Notamacropus eugenii: one gene and its partners. The protein of the gene in region 2 purifies or fractionates together with the protein of the main gene of each other region. This does not show direct contact. Links are inferred from orthologs where the notes say so. Each region holds a gene or a part of one and is shown on either strand. Other genes may lie near its edges. The genes, in order: MDC1, WRAP53 and RNF8.

Evidence for each region.
Region 1: the proteins of WRAP53 (region 2) and MDC1 purify together in Homo sapiens (affinity purification with western blotting, with the first as the bait; 3 studies listed by BioGRID). This does not show direct contact. The link is inferred for Notamacropus eugenii from reciprocal best matches to the Homo sapiens genes WRAP53 and MDC1.
Region 3: the proteins of WRAP53 (region 2) and RNF8 purify together in Homo sapiens (affinity purification with western blotting; 3 studies listed by BioGRID). This does not show direct contact. The link is inferred for Notamacropus eugenii from reciprocal best matches to the Homo sapiens genes WRAP53 and RNF8.

The regions. Positions count from the first base shown.
Region 1 is NC_092873.1:84,570,314-84,578,398, reverse strand, and holds the start of MDC1 (mediator of DNA damage checkpoint protein 1), read left to right. Parts: upstream 1-5,067; 5' UTR 5,068-5,231; exon of another isoform or gene 5,232-5,392; intron 5,393-5,770; 5' UTR 5,771-5,823; exon of another isoform or gene 5,824-5,826; intron 5,827-6,067; 5' UTR 6,068-6,070; coding exon 6,071-6,206; intron 6,207-6,690; coding exon 6,691-7,074; intron 7,075-7,156; coding exon 7,157-7,226; intron 7,227-7,432; coding exon 7,433-8,085. UniProt on the Homo sapiens protein: Histone reader protein required for checkpoint-mediated cell cycle arrest in response to DNA damage within both the S phase and G2/M phases of the cell cycle.
Region 2 is NC_092873.1:78,281,982-78,290,062, reverse strand, and holds the start of WRAP53 (telomerase Cajal body protein 1), read left to right. Parts: upstream 1-5,050; 5' UTR 5,051-5,272; exon of another isoform or gene 5,273-5,432; 5' UTR 5,433-5,540; coding exon 5,541-5,752; intron 5,753-5,904; coding exon 5,905-6,003; intron 6,004-6,266; coding exon 6,267-6,378; intron 6,379-8,081. UniProt on the Homo sapiens protein: RNA chaperone that plays a key role in telomere maintenance and RNA localization to Cajal bodies. Specifically recognizes and binds the Cajal body box (CAB box) present in both small Cajal body RNAs (scaRNAs) and telomerase RNA template component (TERC).
Region 3 is NC_092873.1:95,059,512-95,067,420, reverse strand, and holds the start of RNF8 (E3 ubiquitin-protein ligase RNF8), read right to left. Parts: upstream 3,063-7,909; 5' UTR 2,871-3,062; coding exon 2,769-2,870; intron 1-2,768. UniProt on the Homo sapiens protein: E3 ubiquitin-protein ligase that plays a key role in DNA damage signaling via 2 distinct roles: by mediating the 'Lys-63'-linked ubiquitination of histones H2A and H2AX and promoting the recruitment of DNA repair proteins at double-strand breaks (DSBs) sites, and by catalyzing 'Lys-48'-linked ubiquitination to remove target proteins from DNA damage sites.

The DNA of each region.
Region 1 (8,085 bases), about 6.3 Mb from region 2:
ATATAGTATTCACATAATATTTTATTTTTGAATAATAACACAAAGAACAGTAAGTCATATATATACATATGTGTGTATGCATGTATTTACATATACATATATTATTTTGAAGGTAGGTATTTCAGGTTTTATGCCCATTTAGAGAACTGGGATTGGACCTGTGGTTTCTTTTGTACAGTGAATTTCTTCCACTAGTAAAAATCTATACTTCTCTGCAACTTGTAGTTTTAAGAGAATTACCTAGGGCACTGAGAAGTTGTCAGGCCTGCACAACCAGCCCTGGGAGCTAACGACCCTCAGACTGATTATAGCATGCCAAAGGATTTGGGGGAAAGGGGGGGGGGGAACCTACAAAAAAATGTACAGGAAAACATCCTTTGTATGTAGAAGAAATCCTTGCCACAAGTTGTTCAGGCCTGAGTTAAGTGGCTTTATAATAGTCTGTAAGATCTGCATTCCCTATTCTATTTTAAAAGATGTTTTATTATGTTTTGTTTTTTTACACTTTATCACTTCCCAATAATCCTTCTTAGTATAATATTCCATTACATTTGTATGCCACAATTTGTTCAGCAACTCTCCAGTCAATAAATTACTTTTAAAATTACAAGCATTTTTTTCTGTTGTTTCTATTCCCACTGAATAGGGAATATTCTGAAAAAAGAAAAAAATATTCTGAAAAAAAGAAAAAAAATCCTTGTAACAAATATGAATAGTAAAATAAATTCCTACATTGGCAATGTTTTAATATGTATGTCTTATTCTGCATATTTGGTCCATTCCGAGTAACATTCTTCACCAACAGTCTTTTAGAATCATAATTGGTCATTGTGTTGGTCAGAATTCTTATGTATTTCCAATGTGTTTATTTTTACACTGTTGTTATGGTACAAATTGTTCTTCTTGTTCATTTAAGATCAGCTGATAAAAGTCTCCAGAACTGTCCATTTTATCATTTCTTACAGCAGAATAGTATTCCATTATATTTGCATACCAAAATTAGTTTAGCCATTCCCCTAGTAGATAGTTCCCCCTTACTTTCCAATTTTTTGTTACCTCAGAAAGATCTGTTACAAATGTTTTTCCCATTAACCCATTTTCATATGGGTTCTTTCCCTCTCTCTTCATAGTAAGTTGTATGGCTGGGTCAAATCATGTGCACAATTTAGTAACTTTTGGGGGGCATACTTCCAAATTGCTTTTCAGAGTGGCTGGACCAATTAAAAAACTCCACAAACAATGCATATATCTGTTTTCCCTGAGCTCCTACAACATTTACCGTTTTCCTTTTTTGTCACCTTTGATGATCTGATGATTTGGAACATTTTTAAAATATGGCTATTGATAACTTGTATTTTTTCCTGTGAGACTTCCTTGTTCATATCCTTTGTCATTTGGGGAATGACTAATTCTTCCAATCAATTTCTTATATATCCAGAAAATGAGACAATTATTAGAGAAACTTACTGCAAAACTTAACTATCTCTCTGTTAAGCTTAGCTACATTGATTGTGTTTGTGCAAAACTTTTAATTTTACATAGTCAAAATTGTCCATTTTATCTTATGTAATCCTTTGGTCACAGACTTTTCCCCTATCCAGATAAGAAAGGTAATTTCTTCCTTTCTCCTTCATTTTATTTATGTGACCTTTTAAATCTAAGTCATATAACCATTCGGATCTTATCTTGGTAAATAATGTGAGGTGTTGGTCTAAATCAGACTACTTTCCAGTTTTACTAGCAGTTTTTGTCAAACAGTGAATCTCTTCCTCAATAGTTGGGGTCATTTGACGTAATCACCCTGGTGAAGTCCTTCCTCACTTCAGATCTAGACTATTTCTATAGCCTGCTGGTTGGTCTCCCTGCCTTTCCCCACTCCACTCCATCCTTCATTCAGCAGTCAAATTGATATTCCTAAAGGGCAGATTTGACCATTTCATCTCCCTATTCAATAAACTCCACTGGCTCCCTAATACCCAAGATCAGATATAAAATCTGTTTGGCTTTTAAAGCCCTTTGTAATTTGGTTTTTTCTACCTTTCTTGTTTTCTCACGCCTTATTCCTCTACACATACTTGGCAGTCCTGTGACATTGGCCTCCTTGCTGTTGTTCCGAGACAATCCATCTCCTGACTCTAGGCATTTTCATTGCCTGTTTCCCAAGCCTAGAATGCTCTCCCTCCTTACAGCCACCTCATAGTTTCCGTAGCTTCTTTCAAATTTCAGTTAAAATCCCACCTTCTGCAATAACTCTTTCCCAAACCTCCATTCTCTTTGTGCCTTCCCTTTAAGGTTATGCCCAATTTATCATATATATATATATATATATCATTATATATTATTATATTATAGTATAGTATACATTATAGTATATATTTAATAATATATTATATTATATATTATAATATATTATATATATATCATGTTTATACACAATTATTTGCATGTTATTTCCTTCCCCCCCCCACCATTAATATGTGAGCTTCTTGAGAGCAGGGCCCAGTTTTGTTTGTCTGTGGACTTTTTTGGATCCCTAGGGCTTAGCACAATTCCTGACATATAATAGACACATAATTAACAAATACTAGTTGATGGGAAAAAAAAAACTTTATAGCAAGTTTCTTTGATAAAGGCCTCACTTCTCAAATATGTAATGAACTAAATCAAATTTATATATTAAAAAAGAGCTATTCCCTAACTGATATGGTCAAAGAATATGAACAGGCAGTTTTCAGAAGAAGAAATCAAAGCTATCAATAGTCACATTAAAAATTCTCTAAAGCCTTATTGATTAGAGAAATGCATATTAAAACAACTCTGAGATACCACCTCATACCTGTCAGATTGGCTAACATGACAAAAAGAAAAATGACAAATGCTAAAGGGGATGTGGAAAAAAATGGGACTATTGATGATACTGTTGATGAACAATAATGAATTGTTGATGGTATTGAAAACTAGTCCAACCATTCTGGAAAACAATTTGGAACTACATCCAAAGTTCTATAAAAGTGTGTGTACCCTTTGACCCACCAATACCACTACTAGATCTATATTGGAAAGACATGAAAGGGAAAGGGACCTGTTTGTATATAAATATTTGTAGGAGCTCTTTTTGTGGTGGCAAAGGTAACCGAAAATTACCACACCAGTAAGTTGTGGTATATGATTGTAATGGACTAATATTGTGCAATGAGAAATCTTGAAGGGGATGGTTTCACAAAAACGTGGAAGACTTATATGAACTGATACAAAATGAAGTGAGCAGAACTAGGAGAGCATAATACACAGTAACAGTAATATTGTAAGGATGAGCAATTGTGAAAGACAGCTATTCTGATCAAGACAATGAGCCAAGACAATTCCAAAGGACCCAGATGAAAAAATGCTATCCATCTCCAGAGAGAGAGAACTAATTACCTCTGAATGCATATTGAAGCATCCTTTAAAAAAAAAGACTTTATTTTTAATGTTTTGCTTTCTTTTGTAACATGGCTATTATGGAAATATCAAATTGCTTGCCTTCTAAAGAATGGGGGAGGGGTGGGAGGAAGGGAAGGAATTTAGAAGTCAAAATTTTTTTAAATGACTGTTAAAAAAATTTTTTTACATATAATTGGGAAATATTTAACAAAACACAAATAATTGTTAAAAATAAACAAATGCCAGTTGACTGATGAGTTTATGGAACATTAAGGCTACTATATTGTTTGCTTTTGTATGTTGTTTACCTAATCTGTTTCATGTTTTTTTACTTTTTTTTTGGAAGGGGGAAGGCAAGGCAATTGGGGTTAAGTGACTTGCCCAAGGTCACAGGGTAAGGGCATGAGGTCGAATTTGAACTCAGTCCTCCTGACTCCAGGTTCGGTACTCTTCATAGCGATATTCACCTAGCTACCCTTTTCTGTTTTATCTTTTAACCAGTACTAAGTCAACTTGATGATGATTATTTTTGTAATAAAGCTTGAGATCTGGTACCCCTCCCTTCTCACTTTTTCCTTATTTCCCTCAAGATTCTTAAACCTTTCTCTAGATGAATTTTCTCATTTTTTTCCATCTCTAATTATTTGGTAGCTTGATTAACATGGAACTGAATAAATAAATTTAGATCACTGTTATTTTTATAATATTGGCTTTGCCTATCCACAAATAATATTTCTCCAATTATTTAGATGTCTATTTTCAGAAGGTGTTTTATATTCATATAGTACCTGTATTTTGTACATTCTGTAGTTTTTTTAATAGACTGTACAGAAGTACTCATGTGAATTTATTTCTAACCTGCACCTTTGCTCAAGTTATATTCACTGTTAGCACCCATTTTGCTTTCAGTTTTTACTTCCTTCCCCAAAGGGCTCAGAATATTTTGGCAAATATGAGTCCTTTCTGTTTTTAATGTCCTTGGAGTAGAAACAACAAAAGAATTTTTTACTGTGCTTGACATCTCACTGCCCTTCCAGCACTGACTGTTATCCAAAATGCTGAGTCTGAGGCGAAACTTTTTTTTAAATTTAATTATTATTCATGGTTACACCGTTTTACACATTTGGGATAATTCCCTACTACTGCTGGGTGCATAAAACGTTCGTGCTGGTTGTAACGATTTTCCCCCAAAACCTATAACTCCTCCTATCAGCTGCACTTACTTAGTTCTTGCAAAAACTGTTAAATTTGATGTATCGAAATTATTTCTGTCTTTTGTCATCTCACACTCTCTAACCCCTGTCTGGTTATGCATTGTCCCCTTCCATTTTCTCATGAGTCAGCAGGAGCCATGTCTGGGAGGACCAGGAATGGCTGTTCCGGTCCCTTCTGACGGGGTGATGGGCGGTTTCCATCCTTTCCACGCAGCCGCAGTCAGCCGGCGCCACACTCAGGGGTTACAAGGTGGATACTGCGCGGGAGCGGCAGCGGCGGGCGGAGGTTAACCTTCGAATCCTAGCGCTTATTACCAATCTGAGAGTGCCGTTGGAGGCGCGCGAGGTGGCCCCACCTCCACCGTCAACCGAAGCCAATGGGAAAGCGAGGCGCTGCAGCGGCCTCTTCCCCAAGTGAAAGGCAAGAGGCGTTTTGCCTGGACATGTCCCAACTCCTGCCGGTAGGCTCGACCAATCATTGTGAGAATCGTCCTTGAGGGACGGTGGAAGGAACCAATCAGAGCGTCAGCGGTCGTGGGCGCCTCACTCTTTGCTTGTTTGGGTGGCGCGCGCGCGCGCGCGGACCCGAATCCTGTGAGTTCGGGGGCTCTTAACTACCGGTCTTGATTGGGCGCCATTTTGGATCCCCTCTATTGAGGGAGGCGAAGTGGCCATTAGGTTGGGAAAATCTGGGCGGGAACTATTCGGAGGTTTGCTTCCTGGGATTGCTGGCGCCCTTACTCTAATGGGTATAGGTCCGAGTGCCCTGGGCCTCGCTGTAGGATCTCGGGAAATCCGATGGTTTGGGTCACCCAGGGAATGGGGGGTCCGGGTGACAAGCGGCCCTGGGGGATGTGAGGACGGGAGGCCGTAATTTCCTTCGAGTCGCTCGTGGCCGAGACTCGGCCCAGGGAGAGGGTGTGGCCCAGGTGGGCGGGTGACGGACGGCCCTAGGTTCCACCCCCACCCTCCACCCTTCCACCCAGGTTCCCACCGAGTGAGGATAGGGGGTCAACTCCAGCACCTCAGAATTGGGGTTGCCCCTCCCCCTTTCTTTAAGAGGTGAAAGGGGATGTTCAGGATTGGTTTTAGTTCAAGCCCGTTGTTTTTTGGTTTTTTTTGTTTTTTTACAGATGAGGAAGTTTAAGACCCAGAGAACTTTAGTGACTTGATCAAGGTTACACAGGTTGTAAGTAGCAGTCAGAATCGAATTCCCTTGCCCCACCCGCCCCACCCCCTCCACGCGTCTCTCTTCCGTTACCTTGGCCTAGATCTCCTAAGGGCGGAATCCTTGGTGCGATAGGTTTTCCCAAATGCCCCATTGCTGCCCTGGCCACTCTCCCCACCCGTGCCCTGCTGTCTAGTGCTAGATTGATTATTCGATGTCTGATAGTGGTAGCGTGTTTTCCCCTCCCCTTTCCGCATCCCAGATAATGGAGGACACACAGTTGGTGGACTGGGAGGCTCAGGAGGAGGAGCCTGAGGATTCTAATAGCTCTCCGCCACGTTTCGGCCTGGAGCCTGTAGGGCGGCTGCACCTGTTCAGCACTGTTCGAGGACCTGAGAAAGGTCAGAGGGTATTGGGTACTAAGGGGGGCGGGGTGCAGACTTTGTTTTCATGATTGATAAAAGGCAAAAGAGAATGTGGGGCCTGTTCATGTGGCAGGGGAGATGGAGAGGGAAAATTTCTCCTGGTTTAATCTGATTCTTTGCAGGATAATTTATAACTAACCTTGATACATTTGGGGAATATTTCCTTTGGTGATGACTTAGGAGAATCAGGCTAAAATAAACAGGAGGAGGTAAACTAAAATAATGATCTGCAATGGCTTATGCTTTTCTGATGCTTCTGTCCCTTTTACCCCCCTACCCCATACATTGTGAATCCTATATCTTTCTTATAGAAAATCCTATAGATTTTCCTCTATTTTTTTCTTAAAGAGAATGAAAATGTATGATGAGGGAAGCCAAAGGAAAAAAAAGTCACTGAAGAGCAGGAATGGGGCAGATCTCTGGCTTTACAAGTAATACCTCATTGAATTTCTGCCCCCAGATTTCCTGCTGTACCCTGGGGAGAATGTGGTTGGCAGAATACCTGGCTGTACTGTGGCTCTGCCTTTTCCGTCCATCTCCAAACAGCATGCAATAATTGACATTCCAGCCCAAGGCAGGGCACCTATCCTTCGAGATTGTGGGAGCCTCAATCATACACGACTTCTGAGACCTCCCAAACTCCTAAGCCCTGGAGTGGGCCATCAGTTGAGGGACCAAGACTTGGTACTCTTTGCTGACCTGCCTTGCCAATATCACCGTCTGAGTGCCCCTCCACTTCCTGGCCCCCGGGGGGCTCTAAGTGTGGAAGAGACACCTAAGGTTCCAGGTATGGGGGGACCCCAATTCCAGGGGATCTTATTGGCTGAAGATTCAGAGGAGGAAGGTAAATTTTAGGTATCAGGAAGTGGTGGGTAGGGAGAAGAGCCTGGGAAATATGAAATTACAAAGTCCATTCTTCTCCCCAGATTCTCCTTTGGACGGGAGTGTCAAGGTACCTGTCACATACTCCCCGTCCGAAACTGTAGTACCAGAGAGGTGAGTACTATGGGGCCAGACAACTGAATTTTGTAAAGGGAAGAAGGAAGCTACAGGAGGGAGAACCAAGGGCATAGTAGCTAGTCCTTTAATAATAGTTATTTGAGGTGGGAAGGGAAGAGAACTAGGAACTAAAGTTTTGAGTGCCTGAGTCCTTTCTTGGGATCTGAATTCCAAGTTCTCTATCTTTTCTCTTTTCCCATCAGTGATGTGGAGGGAGCTTCACCAGGCACCAAGAACCCTGCACTGCCTCTTACTTTCATTCTGGATAGTGACACAGATGAAGAGGAAGATCCTCCCCCGAGAGAGCCCTCCTTAGCTACCAGGAGAGGCTCTACTATAGATAAAGAGTGGAGTAAGACTGGTGGAGAGAACCACCCCTTAGGTGTGAGAAAGGATAGTGATACAGATGTGGAAAGAAAAGAGGGCATCATGGCAGTTGTCTCTGAGGCACATCTGAAGGAGAACTTGCCCACTGACAGGGACAGTGATACAGATGTTGATGATGAGGGCAATCTCCAAAGGACTTCAGCTGTGGCACCTTTGGTAGATAGCGGTACAGACTTGAAAGAGGAAGGTCTCTCAGTGAGTCCAGCTAAACCACACTTGAAAATGTGCCAACCTGATAGGGGGGACAGTGATACAGATATAGAAGAGGACTCTATCCCAGCAGCGCCATCTGTAGTCTGTCTGGGAAAAGATCAGGTACCCATAGATGGGACAAACAGTACAGATATAAAAAAGGAGGGGGCCCCAACAGAACTCTCCACAGTACATCTTGAGAAGGACCAGCACCCCATTGGTGGAGATGGGGACAGTGATACAGATGTGGATGACAATGGATCTCTGACATATGTGA
Region 2 (8,081 bases):
CAGTCAGCATGATTTTGTGATTTTCTCCAGCTTTGTTCAGTGGCACATAAGTGTGGGAGCAAAGGCAGTGGGTGGTATGAGTGATCCGAGGCTGAGGTTTGGGCAAGATGGGAAGTAGAAATGAGGACAGTATGGAGTTGAACTGGTTCAACAAGGGGTCAAAATGGAGAAGGAATAGCTAGTACAGGGGATGAGGGACTGGAGGTTATGGTGAGGAAAAACAAGGTTTGGGGTTTTAAGGCAGAGAAAGAGATAGAATGACAATGGTTTGTGAGCAGATAAGGGAATTTCAGAGTTCGTGAACATGAAAATGGTGTATTTATCAGTGCTGTCAATAGAGAAATGCAAATGAAAGAAACCACAAGGTTCCACCTCATACCAGTAGTATTGGCAAAGATGGAGAAAGAAGAAAATGACAAATGTTTGCAGGGACTTTTTGAAAGAACATATAGTTGATGGAGCTATAAATTGGTCTAGCCATAGTAGAAAGCAACTTAGAACTATTCTTCCAAAGTTACTAGCCTTTGACCCAGTAATACCACTACTCAGAATGTTGAAAACTGAAAATAAATCAATTTATATGAAAAAAATACCACTACTAGACTTTTGCCCTATGAGATCATAGACAAAAGGCAAAAAGCATATATATACATATATGTATACACATACATATATGCATATATATAAATATATAAATATTTATAGCAGCTCTTTTTGTACTAGCTAGAAACTAGAAACTCTGGGAGGACCCACCTATTGGGTAATGGCTAAAATGTATTATGGTACATGAGTGTAATGGAATATTTATTGCACCATAAGAAATGATTAAATGGACAATTTCAGAGGGAACGGATTATACTTCTGTGATCTGATGCAGAGTGAAATGAGCAGAAGTAGAGTACAATGTGCACAATGATAATGTTATAAAGAAAAACAACTCTGAAAGACTTTAGAACTCTTGTCAATGAAATGACAAATCACATTTCCTGAGGACCTAAGATGAAGCAAGCTTTGCACTTCTTGCCAGAGACATGATAGATTTTGAATCCAGAATGAGACATACATTTTTTTGGACGTGGCCAATATGAGAACTTGTTTTGCTTCATTATGCATATTTGTTATGTTTAGGAGGAACTGGAAGGGAGAAAAGTAGTTTCTTAAAATATGAGATAAAGCAAAACTTAAAAAAAGAAAGACAGGCAGGAGCCCTGGCAATTGTGGATTAATTACCCAATATGTGATTTTCTATTTCTTCTTAGCAGCAATGTGAAGGCACTGCCTAACCAAGAGAAATAATTAGGTCTGTACATTAATAATATCAATTCAGAAGCTGTGCTGATGATAGGTTCGGAGAGATGAGAGCCTGGATTCAGGGGGACCACTTAGGAGGCTCTTGATGGTCTAAGCAAGAGGTGATGAGAAACTGAACAAGAGTAGTTGTGGTAAGTGGAGAGAGGGGAATGGATATGAAACATACTGTAGGGTTAAAGTTGAAAAAAACTTGTGAAGGGATGAGTGAGAATGCATAGTCAGCAATCCTAAGTTGTAAACCTGGTGGAGTCCTCAACAGAAGTTAGGGGAAGGGGAAGGCTTAAGGGAAAAAAGATGAGTTCACTTTTGGATGTTCTGTTTGAAATGCTTATGGTACATCTTAGGTGGAGATGTTGAGCAGGTAGTTAGAGATGCAGGCCTGGGATTTAGGAGACAGATGGGACCTGGATATATAGATTTGATAGTCATCTGAATAGAGATAATAGTTGAACTCATAAGAACTAACAAGAATAAGAGAGAATATACAGAAAGGATGAGCAAGGGAGAGTCTTGAGGTATACCTGCATGTGAAGGGTGAAGCATGATCATATAAAGGAAACGGAGGAGGGAGCAGAGAACATCTAAAAGGAGGGACTGATCAACAGCCATGTCAAGAAGTATGAGAACTGAGAAAAAGTAGATTTAGGGACACAGTTATCATGAGTGATCTTGGAGAGAGTATATACAGTTGAGTTTAGAAGTCAGATCATAAAAGGGTGAAAAGTGAGTGGGGGGGTGTGTGTGATAAAATAGAAGCAATAGACAGCTTTTTCCAGGATCAGGTCCTTAAGCTTTTTTGCATCATGAACCCCTTCTTAAAATAGGGTTTATAAATGTATAAGATAAAATATATGGGATTACAATTGAAACCAATTCTGATGAAATACAGTTATCAAAATATTAAAAAAAATATAGACCCTCCCACCCCTAACCTTTGTTTACGAGTTTTACTTTCAAGGGTTACATTGAGGAGATTTGTAGGATCAAGTAAATGCTTCTTAAAGATAGGAGAGATCTGGACATGTCTGTAGGTAGGAGGGAAGAAACTAGTGGATAAAGAGAGATTGAGTCTGTAAGGAAGAGAACCTTACCCTGCCATGACCTCTACTTTTGTACTCTTGTTTATCCCCTTTCCTCTTCTTCTGTAATTTTACTCTTTAATCATTCCCCCTCTCTCTTCTTCAATCTTGAGTTATCAGGAGTCAATACTTCCTTCCCATTGCCTGCAAACATGAGCATGTATCTCTCTCATCATTAAAAAACAAACAAGGGCAGCTAGGTGGTACAGTGGATAGAGCACCAGTGCAGGAGTCAGGAGGACCTGAGTTCAAATCTCACTCAGACACTTGACACTCACTAGCTGTGTGACCTTGGGCAAATCACTTAATCCCAATTTCCTCATCCTGGGTCATCTCCAGTTATCCTGATGAATATCTGGTCACTGGATTCAGATGACTCTGGAGGAGAAGTGAGACTGGTGACCTGCACAGCCCTCCCTCCCTCAAAACAAAATCAAGGGCAAGTCATGTCATTACTTCTCTGGTGGCATGGTCTTCTTCAGCAACCAAGGACGAACAAACACTAAAAAACAAGCAACCCTTCACTTGACCCTATCATTATTATCCTGCCTTTATTTCTCCCTCCTTTCACAAAGTCCTACAAAAAATTTTCTACACTTGTTTTTCCCACTCCCTTGTTTCTTATTCACTTTTCATTCTGGATTTTGACCCTGATACTCGATTAAAAGTTTTTTCTGCAAGGTAAATTTCCATCTTACCACTAATAAAATCCCATGATCTTTTATCAGTCCTCATTCTACTGACCCTTTCTACAGCCTCTGACATTGTATAATCATACCCTCCAGAGCCTTAGCATTTCTGTGACTCTTCTGGGGCTCCTCCTACCTCTGATTGCTTCTTCTGTCCCCTCCTTTGCTGGATCATCATCAGAAGAAAGACCCTGGAAAGCTACTATGCCGTCTTAGAATCTGCTGACAACAAATTGTTATTTATCATTGATGGGAGGCACAACAGTTGGGGCTGGTGATTTTGAGATTAGGAAAGACATTTGAGCAGACCTCGAAAGAAGCTAAGGAAAGAGTGGGAGTGCAAATTCAGCAAAAACTGGAATGTTTACAGGTTCTAGAAGCATAAACTAAGGCTATAAAATTAGGTCAGAGCCAGACTGTGGAAGACTTTAAATTTGCATTCTATACTAGAAACTATAGGCCAGCGGTAAGGAACCTGCAGCCTCGAGACCACGTGTGGCCCTCTAAAGTCCTCAGATGCAGCCCTTTGACTGAATCCAAACTTCACAGAACAAATCCCTTTTAATAAAAGGATTTGTTCTGTTAAAACTGCAGGTTCTCCACTCCTGCTATAGGCAGTCAGTGAATGGGCACTCTAAATATGGGTATCCCTCAAGTCTCCATCCTGGGCCCTCTTCTCTCTCCCTATACACTGATGATTCAGTTAGTTCTTGTGGGTTCAATGATCATTTTTATACAGATGATTCCCAAGTCTATATGTGTGTATGTAACATGCACACACATAATACATCCTCTAGCCTTGACAAGTCTTCATTCTGATTGCCCCAGTATTATGTTCAATAAATTACTAGGTCTTGACATTCCTATTTTTAGGGCATATCTCCCATCTGTTCTTCTTTCTTCACTCATCCTTAACCATCCTAGTTATATTTTCCAATCACTCCTCACTTGAGTACTGAAATAACTTACCAGTGGGGTACCCTCACATCCATTCCATCCTCCACAAGCTGCCATAATGGTCTGCCTAGGACAAAGGCCTGACCACATCACTTTCTCCACCACAGACCTTCCAGTGACTCCTCAGCGTCTCTAGGGAAGACAACACTAAGCAACAGCCAGTGTTTTTAGCATTTGATATCTTCCATGATCTATCTGCTTTTTCCAGACATAACTAATGATAAGGCTTTAGCCTGAAAGGGCCAAGGTCTCCCTTGCATCCTGGGTCATCTCCAGGCATCCTGGTGACTATCTGGTCTTTGGATCCAGATGGCTCTGGAGGAGAAGTGAGGCTGGTGACCTGCGCAGCCCTCCCTCCCTCCAGTCAAGGTCAATGCAACTCATGTCATCACCTGGACGTCATGGTCCTCTTCCAGAACGAAGGACAAACGCAGCAGCATTTCTGTAAGCGCTTTAAGGCTTACAAAGCACTTTCCATGTTAGCTCATTTGGTCCATTTTACAGATGAGGAAACCGAGGCACAGAGAGGTGAGTGACTTGCCCAGGGTCCGCGGTACCATCCGGGTCAGCTCTTGCTCCACAGCAGCACCATCCGCTCCATTTGTTCCTTTTCTGACTGGCTCCCGCTCACATCCAACAGCATTCCGTCCCCTGCCCTCCTGCACCCATACACGCCGCATGTCAAGTCTGGACTTGACGGCCTCCTCCACTGCTTACAGTAACTGGAGGCGGGCCGTTCTCCTCCTCAGTCTCAGCCCTCCCCACCCACTGCCATGCGGCTGGCCTAAGTGTGTAGTCAGGGCGTCCCCTGGAGGTGAGAGGCGGGAGGGGGGCTGCGGAAGGGAGAGCGCCTTGCCTAACGTGACTAGGAACTACCACTCCCAGCAAGCAGCAGGGTGGCCGCGGAGGCGGAGGGGCGGGGGAAGTCCTGGGAGATCGATGGGGGTTGTAGTCCAGGCCTGTCTTACGGCCGTTCCGTAGCCCGCTCAACTAAGGACCAATCAGAAGGCCGGCGGAAATCTCGCCAGAGAAAGACGGCGTCTCTGGCTCGCGCCCCGCTACTCCGGGGGACCTGGCTGGCGGCCGCTGGGCTTGGGCTGCGCTGGGGAGCCGGGACCTGTGGCCCGACCAGCCCGTGGAGAGCAAGGCGCCCCTCGACTCCTGCGGGCCCCCCTCGGCCTCCTGTATTGCGCACCACAAAGCCGGCTCTAGCCGCCACTACTTTTGTGATCTTAGGCAAGTCCCTTCCCCCAGCAGGCCTCGCCTCGGAGCGTCCCGCGTCTCCCCTCGTGGGTTTGTTTGTGTGTGCGCGTGCGTGTGGGGGCGCGCGCCCGGTGCGGTGCACACAAACATTTAAGCGCCCCCCGCCGCCCACCTGGCCCATGTTTTTCCCTAGGTTTCCCAGGGCCCAATAACCATAACCACGGAGCCAGCACTCGCCCCCTGCTGCAGCGATGACGCCCCCCAGGCTGCGCCCGAGCCAGCGGAGCCCCCGACCCCTTCTATGGAGCTGGGGGAAGAGCGGGACCCTGAGACCCCTGCTCCTCCGGGACCGGACGCAGAAGCCCCTGTGGAGGAGGTGACTGCTGGAGAAGGGCAGGAGCCCGCCCCAACCGACGGCCTCCCCGAGGGTGAGGGGGCAGCCCCCGAATTCGCGCCTGGTGAGCCGGCGGAGGAAGTCCTGCAGGAGCCAGCCCCGGAGTGCGAGGAGTACTAGTAAGTGACTGGGAGGCGGGCTGCTCCCTTCGGGGAAGGCTTTGTTTCCCCTCCCAGCCCTGCTTCCTTCGGCAACTAAGTATCAGCGCGGCTGTCCTGCCCCTCCCCCTGGTCCTCCCGAAGCCTAGCGCCCACTCTTCATCTCCTTCCAGCTCCTGGAGCTACAATTTCTCCCAGCCCCCTCGCCTCCTCAATGGCTCCTGGTCAGAGTTCAGCTTGCAACCTGAGAACTTCCTAAAAGGCTGTAAATGGTAAGGATAATGGTGGGGGAGGAGAAGGAAGATTCTGGGTGAATTAGATGGCGGGGAGGGTACTGGATGAGAAAGGACAAGATTGTAGTGGCAGGGAGGTGTTGGATCTGGGCTGTCTTCTTTGAATTAAGTTGAACTGGGTCTTTATTGCTCAGTTCTCTCCCAGGACCCAGTGCCTGCCATTTCCTTCAGGGACTCAGGAGTTCCTACCTCCCCACTCACTCCGCTACCAGGCATCCAGCCTAAATCTCCTCTGCCTCCAGGGCCCCCGATGGCTCCTGCCTCTTGACCAACAGTGCCGACAACACCTTGCGGATTTATAACCTCCCGCCAGAGCTGTATAATGAGGAGGAAGAACTCGAGAATGCAGAAATGGTGAGTGTCGGAACCTGTACCTTTTCTTCAGTCACCCCTACGGAAGATGTTCCCTCCTGTCTTTTCTTCCTGATTGTAAATAGTAAGTTCTTTATATAAATCTGACCCACATCAAGTTTTTGAAGAGAAATGTTCCTTGGTCTCCCTGTGGCTTCTAGGATAAAATGCAAGTGTAGAACTTCCCACTATCTGGCCATAATTTATCTTTACAGACTTAGTTCCTATTATTCCTTTTGTACAACCTGTACACGGTCCAACCAGACTCTGTAGGTTTCTTCTAGGGCTGAAAAGCATTCCCACATTTTCCTTAGCTTCTCTCGAAGTCTGTTTGTGTTCTCTAAGCCTTTCCTAATACCACAGTTAAAATCTTCCTCCTATTATTTTCCCTGTGTCCCATATCCTTTGCTTCTTTAGAGTAAGGGAGGATTTTTTTTCCTTTGTATTCATTTGGCTCCTACAATATGTCAGGCAGTGTTCCAGTTGATAGTAGGACAAGAAAGAGTAAAACTACTTCTATCCTTCTCAAGGACCTTTCTCTTCTCTTAGGGAAAGTAAGACATACATAGAAAATTTATATATGCACACACGTACATATATATGCACATGTACACACATATATATACATACATGTGTGTGTATAAACTAATTTCTTCAGGCATTGGGGGTCAAGATAGGCTTCCTTTGAAGGAGGTGGCTTTTGAGCTGAGCTTTGAAAGAAGCCTGGCATGTATTTCCGTTGATGTTACCACTATCTTCCTAGTCCCCACTGTTCAAAGTCTTAGAATCATTAAGCTCCCTCGTAAGCACAGCATCTCTTCTGACTGGGATGCTTTATGTGGTTCCTAAGGTCTGTCTCTTTCTTGAGCTGGAACTTGACTCTAGATTGCCAGGGCTAGCCCTCTTCAGTCCATAGCTGGTTTCTCTCTTTTGCTTTGAGACCTGGATCAGTCACAAAGGTAGTTCTGGATATTAGTGACCACTTTTCTGAATCAGTTTCTGAAGTATTTCTCTTGTCACCTCAATTCTGTCTCAAACTCTTCTTGAACTGATTTTCCATTATCTGTTGGATGTCTCTCTGAACAAATTTCTTTGGCTTGTTGGAGCAGGGAAGAGAAAAAGTCCCTTCTCCCAAGAGGTGAATATCTAAATTCTTCCTTGATTGCTGGTTCCTGGCCTTGACTGCTGAACTCTTAAGCTGCTGGTTGTTTCCAGGGCTTAGCTATTTAAAGAACCTAGCCAGTTTTCAGCTCAGTGGAGTTACCTCATCTGATTTAGAGAGGTGTTCATATTTGGAAGAGGAATTGAGTGTTAACACCTTATTTCTTCTCTTCCCCCCGCCCCATGTCTTCACATCTGTGAACTCTTATCACTTGAACTACAGGCAAGGAGAACAAATTACATTCAGTTAATTACCAGATATTATTGATTTGATTTCCCTAATAGTCTGTCTCTTTCTTCCTTTCCACCTTCATTCTGGTTCAGGCTTTGATCAGCTCCAGCCTGGACTATTGTAATAAACTCTTACTGGTCTTCTTGCTTCCGTTCTTATTCCAAGTCAATTAATCCTTCACCCAGTTGCTGACAGTCTTTTGGGGTGTAGGGTTGTGATTGCAGTGTTTTTCAAGTGCACATGAGGACAACCCTACTAGGTAACCCCCACTCCTCTTCTCATCTTCAGAGGCAATCTGTGGGTGTGCTCTGGT
Region 3 (7,909 bases), about 17 Mb from region 2:
CTACATTACAAACTAAAAACACACAATCTAATCAGATATGATAAAATTCAACCAAAAATATAAAAAATTATTCCTCCTCCAATACACATTAGTTGTGTGAACCACTTAATTTCTTTGGACCTCAGTTTCCTTATCTGTAAAGTGAGAGGGTTGGACTTGATAACTCACCTTTCTAGTTCTAAATCCACAAACCTATGATTAAGCAAATGTGGCTTTATTTTTATTTATCTTTTATTAATGAACAACTTCACCCTAAGTTTATATTGTGCTTTGAGATATTAGCTAATCACAGCATGAAGTTAGTATTATTAGAATGACCTTTAAAACTAAGCTTCTGTTGCCAGAAACAATGTATGTCACTTATAAAAACTATCTGCACACTTAAATTTGCAAATTTTACAGCCTATTTAGAAATCTAGCAAATTAAAAGTTTCAAAAGGTTTTCAACTCATTTGTTAAAAAAAAAAAAGAAAGGTACTATCTTCTGAATAGTTTGTAAGAATTGACACCAGGGAAGATGGAAGTTATTAATAAAACAAATTCAACAAAAACTTATGAATAATTGTCGTGGCTGGGTTTGGAAACTGTGTTTCTTGATTTAGCAAACATAACCAAATGAAGCATTTCTTCCATTCGGATCGACAATATCTTTATATGAGGTTATCTTTTTCAGCTATGCCAATCATTAAGATAAAGTATCAAGATACACCACAATTAGCACTAGGCCCCTGTATCACAATCTGTTTAACCAAAATGTATTGTTAAATAAAAATTTGAAAAATTGTTTATTTCATCTATCTCATTTTTTTATGTTTTGTATGTTTTATAATATGTCTATATGCATACAGTAGTATGCAAATAATTTATAAATACACAAATATAGGGGTGCTAAAAATCCCTTTCCAGTAGAGGTTTACAAAAAATATATAGTTTGAGTTCATTAGCACAATGGATAGGAAATGGGCTTGAGAATCTGTAAGACCTGGGTTCAATTTCCTCTTCAATCTCCTAAATACTGGGTGTGTGAGCGGAGCAAATCACTTCTCAGCACCTACCCACCTGCACTGGTAGAGGGAGTTTCTTGAGGAGAGCTTCTTATGCTAATAAAATCATAGGTTTAATCCAAAAACAAAAATGCTGAGTCATAGATATATTTAAATCCACAGAAACAAATGAGATCACCAAAGGTAATAGAAGGGAGCCAAACAAGGGAAGCAGACTCAAAGGTCTAGGTAGAAAAAGAAAGAATAGGGAGAACCATCAAGGAAACCAGAGGATGAAGGAATATCCAAGAAAAGAGGTGGCTGACAACGTGAAAAAATGAAGAAAATTCAAGAAAGAAGCCTTAGAAGAGGCCATCAGACTTAACAGTTAAAAAAGGTTATTTGTTTAGCAGTTTGAGCAGAATGGCAACGTCAGGAACCAAAGAGAAGCGATTTGAGAAGTGAGGTACTGAGCTTTTAGTGAGGCAATGAGTTTTTCCTAGGAGCTGGGCAACAAAAAGAGAAACAGAGTGTTGTATGTGTCTGGGGGTAAAAAAGCAGGGTTAAGGGAAGGACTGTGTAACATCTGAGCATGTTTTTAGGCACAAAGGAAAGAGCCAGTGGATGAGGCCAATATCCACCAAGAGAATAAAAGATGGACTAAACTGCTGAGGGGCAAGCTCCGGCCAGGTGAAAAGGAAAGGGCTCAAGAAGGGTAATATTTGGCAAGCAGAAGTGTCACTTCCTTGTAAGAAGGTATCTGAACTGTTGCCATGGTCTAGTGATCTCACCTTTGCAACATCTTTCCCATCTGTTCCCCTTCTCTCCTACGACGCTGTCATAGTACAAGACTCTCACCACCTCCTATCAGGACTACGGCAATAGTCCGCTCGTTGATCTTTTTCCCACAAGTTGTCTCCCCCTTTCAGTCTATCTTCCACTAAGTTGTCAAAAGTGATCTTCCTAAGGTATAGATCTGATCATGTAAACACACCCCTTGTTCTCCCCCATCCCCATAAATTCCAGAGGCTCTCTATCATCTCCAGGTTCAAATATTAAATCTTCTGGTCTTCAAAGCCCTTCACACCCTAGCCCCACCACCCACTTTTTTATTCTTTTTACCACCACCCCCCCTTCTTCCCCCTAATCCCCCACACATACAATTCGATCCAGTGATACTGTACTCTGTTCTGCCAAAAAGACACCTAGTCTCCGGACCCAGGGCTTTTTCACTGGCTCTTCCCCAGGCCTAGAATTCTCCTCCTAGCTTCCTTTAAGTCCCAACTAAACTCCTATCTTCTACAGGAATCCTTTCCCAAGCCCTCTTAATTCTGGAGTCCGCCAATTTCCTTTTTATCCTGTCTAAAGTTTGCATGTTGTCTCCATTAAGACTGTGAGCTTCCCAGCGCAGAGCACGATGCTCGGGACATAGTAGACACTTCATAAATGTTTACTGATTGACTATGAAGGGATCTAAGACTGGGGTGGGGGGTCGAAAAGGCTCATCATAAAACAGGCACTGATTTTCTTGCCTCTCATTTCACTCCTCTAAGGCCACCCCCTCCCTTCCTTCTCCCGGCAGGGCAGATTTTTTTATTTTTTGCCCCGCTTCTCCCCCTCTGCTCTTTCAGCAGGACACACACTCCCCCCCCCCCCCCCTCTCCCTCCGGTCCTGCGGAGGCAGACACACTGGGTTCACCCCCCGGGCGGCCTCATCTCCCACCCCACCGTCCTGGGGCCTCATTCTCCTCCCTCGGCCCGGCCAGGCCGCCCCTCCCCCCTCACCTCGCTGCGATCCTCGAGCAGCAGCCACTGGGCGTTTATCCCCACCCGCCGCAGGCACCAGGCTCGGCGGCCGTCGTAGTCACCGCCACCGGGATCCCCCATGGCCGGCCAGGCCGGCACAGACCCAGGCCCGATTCCGGTCTCGGACCCGGACCTAATCCCGGCCACGCTCTCAGTCAGCACAGGGCAGGGCCCCTGCCGGGCCCCCGGGCCCGGCCGTCCCTCCTCTGCCTGCCTCCTGGAACCTCTGGCTCCGCCGCCGCAGCCATGTCTAAGTAACAGACCGAAGCAATCAACGCTTCCGGCCTACGCAACTGCAATCGATTCCACGGACGCTCGAAGGCCCCGGCTCCCGTTCCCGCCCCTCCCCGCCCCAGTCGCGGCACGTGAGAAAGTATCAATCCTTCCCTTACGCTCCTCTTCCCCCACCCCCGCCCCGTGAAAGCACTAGCGCATGCGTCCTTGAGGCATTAAGGAGGTGGGGAGGGAAACGGGAGAGAGGCGGGGGAGCCGTGGGGGCTTCTCGTCCTCTGTTGTCCCGGGTCGGGAGGCGGGGTCTCCTCACCAGCTGGCTGTTCTCGGTGAACTTCTGCTTGTAGTCAGAGCCACAGAGCCGCGCTGATGTTCTCCCAGCTTTATGGAGAAAGTAAAGTTGCGGCTGAGACATTGTTACATTCGCTGGATGCCTAATTGCGGTGCGAGAAACTGACATGCTGGGCCCAGACAATGAATGGGGGAGGGGGAGGGGAGAGGGGCAAAGGGAACAAACGTTTATTAATCGCCTTCTGCGTGCCAGGCACTTTGTAAAGCGCTTTACAAACATTTCATATAAGTGCTTATTGTGTTCATGACGTTTGAATTGTATTGATTCAAAAGTTATTTTTAAAATTATGAGCGTTTGGTAGGCTTAACGTATTTACTTTTAATAAATACACTACTTGGAAGTACTTGTACTTTATTTCCAAAATGATGTTATTTTATTCCAAAACAAAAAGAATCAGTTAAGCCCTTACTTTGTGTTAATATACTGGGAACTAGTATTTCAAAGACAAAAATTAGAAACCTTTCACAATACATTTTAAGTGGAGTTAAATAATTTATGAGTCTTCTCAACCCTGAAAACAGATGATCAGAGTCTCTTTTAACTCCGAAAATACCAAAGAGCTCACACAAGTTATCCCAACCATAGTTAACTCTGGAAAATAAAATAAGACCAAAGAGCTAACAGTAGTTAAAGCAGAAAAGCATTTTTTATTTTGTTAGAAGAAGGAAACTAGACACAGGTGCCTGGGGCCTCCTCTGATACAGAGAAAATCTACCTTAGTGTGGTCAAATCTCAATAGATATAGTAGTGGTTAAGCAGTGAGCTGGAGCCCGGACACTGAGGAGTAACTACAAAAGTGAGACACGTTTGATTCGCAGCAGGGCTTCCTGACTAGAACATGAGTCCTGCAGGTGTTTGTTAGAGCTCAGGTACCAACTTGTGCTGGTGTGAAACAGTTCTGGAATTTTGTTGCAGATGTGTTCATCCAGAGGGTGAGCAGAAAGGATTGTTGTTATGCTAGGCTCAGGACACAGCTTGCTTGCTGGGCCTTAGCACTGGAAAACAAGGTTGTCTCCTAAGAGTAAAGAGAGGGGAGCAAAAAGAGAGCGCTGGTCTTGGCATGCGGATCCTGACATTATCATGCTTCATATGTTTATTGTAGAGCTCAGCTGTAAAATTAGGGGTTTGTGTTAGATGATCTCCAAGATCTGTTTCAGCTCTAAATCAATAGATCCAAACTTTATTCCTCCCCCCAAAAAATGGACATATAAAACCTGTGACTTAAAATTGCTTATCTTTTTTAGTGCATAACTTTTTTTCCTTTTTCAAAGTGAGGCTTAGGGAGGTAATCTATATTTGGGGATGGTTTCTGTTTGTGCAAATAGAGTATTTCACATTGGCTTCTCCTCTTTCAACGTCATTTAATCTTATTCTGTCCTTATTGAAACAGAGATAAGGGCCCCCTGGCAGGAGTGTGCTGTTAAATGTTTAACTGGCTCTTCCAAAAAAAATATGCAAGACACTTTTAAGTTTAATCTACATTATTAACATTTTCTCCATCACTTTAGACAATCAACAAAACAATAATTCAAGCCTTTGTTGATTTCAGAGCATTTAGATGACCATAATAGGTTCTTCTTTTCCCAGCTGGCTCCAGCACACTGCCTTGGGTACACCTCATATATGGTGCATCTTTTCATACTTTGCTAAGTTAGACCCCTTTGACGTTTTTGGTTAGTCTCCTTTGCTTTTACACAGAATGTTTAACGCTGGTTTTATTAGTTCATGTCATTCATAAAACAGCAAGGCACCCTGAGAGACAGGAGGCCATCATGTGCCTCACTCAACTCAACAGAACCACCATCTTGACCACCACCTCCCCTCAGACCCAGATAGAGACAGCCTAGGACGATGAATACAAGAGCTTGAAAATAGCCATGCTTCCAGACCAGCCATCATCCTGGGAAGCAGCCCCTGTGAAGATACAGCCTGTTCACTGCTCCTGCAGGTGCTGCAGCCATGGCTACTGAAGATGCTTTTCTCACCAAAGTCCTTGTCATTGTCAAATGGTTTGGCATCAGAAACTGACAGATTTTATCAGTGGAAATGACATTAAGAAACATAACTAACCATATGCTTTGCCACTGCCCCCTAAGGATCCTGGGTCTTTTCCATCTGTCTTGGAGTTGAACCTTTCCATGAGTGTTGTCTCTTCAAGTTGAACGTGAGCTCCTTGAGAGCAGGGACTGTCTTACTTTCCTATTAGAATCCCCCGCACTTAGCACAGTGTGTTGCACACAGCAATGTTTAATCAAATGCTTTGTTCATTTGTTGTTTGAGTCATTATTTCTGAGACAGTTTTGGTCCCCTTCTTAGATTCTAAGGAGAAAGGTTCAGAGGCAATCAAAGACTACTCAGTTTGGGGAATAGCCAGAGGTGCGGTTTGGGTAGAAGGTAGACTATGTGAAGAAAAGTAATGTTAAATAAGGCTGAAAAGGTAGGTTGTTGCCAGATTGTGGAGGACATTAAATATCAGGCTAACCACTTTGCATTTTATTCTAGGGGCAACAGGGAATCGCTATTTCTTCACTTTTTTTGAACAGAGAAGCAATCTGCTCGGACCTGTATCTTATGAGTATTATTTTGACAGGTTGTGGAAAATGGATTGGAGAGAGATGACCAGGGAGGAGGCAAATTAGCAGGTTAATAACAGCAGTCCAGAGGAGAAAGTGTTGAAAGAAAGAAATGTGGCATAGGTAGAATGACAGGATGTGAGAAATGATTGGATGTTGGGGGTAAGAAGAGCATAGTATCAGGGATGATTCTATAGTTTTGAGCCTGAGCGCCTGGGAGGGTGATGCAGCATCCTTAGTAGAACTAAAGAAGTTTGGAAAGCAAGTGAGTTGACTTTTGGTCAGGTTGATTTTGAGATTGTTATAGAAATTTTTTATTTTCTTTTATTATTTGAGATTCAGGGCCATTCCTTTTTGCAAATTCTGGCTAACTAAAACCCTGTCTTAATATCAACCTATCCCATAAGATGTGAAAATTTACTTAAAGCCATAAACATTCTTTAGATAAAAAGCCCATGGAAGAATCTCAGCTGTTCCTGACTCCTTGCCAACATGTAAATCTGCCTATTTGTGAATAGAAATGTAGTTTAATCTGTAACCTCACTTAGTTTACCTGTAGAGTCTGTTTGACAAAGTTTATTTCCTTAAGGCGATGATGAGAGATCATGAACTAAGAGATTATAATTCAAGTTTGTTTGACTTTTATGACATTGGAAAAAGTATGAGCTGATGGATCTATCTTATGTTTAACTTATGTGATCTAAAAGAAATTTACAAGATTGCAATATGTAAAAGCATTATTTCTCTTGTCACTCTGATATAATTTTACCTATAAGAGGGTTTGTAAGACGTCTAGTTGGGGTTCAGGTTTTGTCTTTCTTTGAAGCATACTGTGCTTGAGCATATAAATAAAACCTAGGTTTTTTACCTTTAAAATTTCTGCATTGGGGTAAATATATACAGTATTTGGCAGCAGTAACCTACCATATGAACTCAGAGAGGAAATATTTTTCTCCCATAAGAAAATCTAGATTAGAAACACTCCAAATCAGAGACAATGGGAAACTGGTGCTGGACCCCCATAGCATCCTGGGGGAGGACTGTGAACTTTCCTCCAGGGAGGGTTGATTCTTTCCAAACCCCTCCCAATGTTGGTGGCCTTATCTGCCTGCTTCCTTCTTAGTCAGAGCATCCCATCATCTCTCACTTACCCCAAGGGTCATTTGTCTACCCAAGAATCTCTCCATCTGGCAAAGGGATTGCTTTCCCCCAAACCAGATGAATTGCCTTGCCTTGGAACCCATGCCCTGGATCATCACAGGATCAGCTGGGGTGGGGAGGAGCTGGGGCAAAGGGGAATCATCATTGAAAGCAGCTTCCCCTTGAAATTTGTAAGCTGCCTCTCTTCCCCCAACCCTCCACTCTCAGTTTAATAGAAATAAAGCACCAGTTCAAAACCAGACTCTGCCATTTAATACCTGTATGGCCTTGGAACTTCACTTTTCTTTGTGGACCTCAGTTTCCTCCTCTGTAAAATGACTGAATCAGATTGGATGATCTCCAAGGTCCTTTCCACCCACCTCTAAATTTATGGTTCTGTGATCCTACATCTCTTCCTTTGACATTCCTCTGTCTTTGATGCTTACGGAAATTTATCTTTCACTTGAAGACATCTTGCCTCTTGACACGCTCTCCAAGACTGACTTTGACTTGGCTACTTCTTTCATTCTACTGGACACAGAGCTAGAAGGAGGAGGAGTTGGAATACTCCTAGTGATGTGGATACAAACAGTGCCTTAAGAGTTAAAAATAAAATTAAGAGTTGACTTTGTGAGGCCACTAGTTTATTCTGTAACCTAAAGCCCATGGAAGCTGATGAGATCACCAAATAAGACAATATGGAACAGACCCTTCCTTCTTCCTTCCTTCCTTCTTCCTTCCTTCCTTCCTTCCTTCCTTCCTTCCTTCCTTCCTTCCTTTCTTCCTTCCTTCCTTCCTTCCTTCCTTCCTTCCTTCCTTCCTTC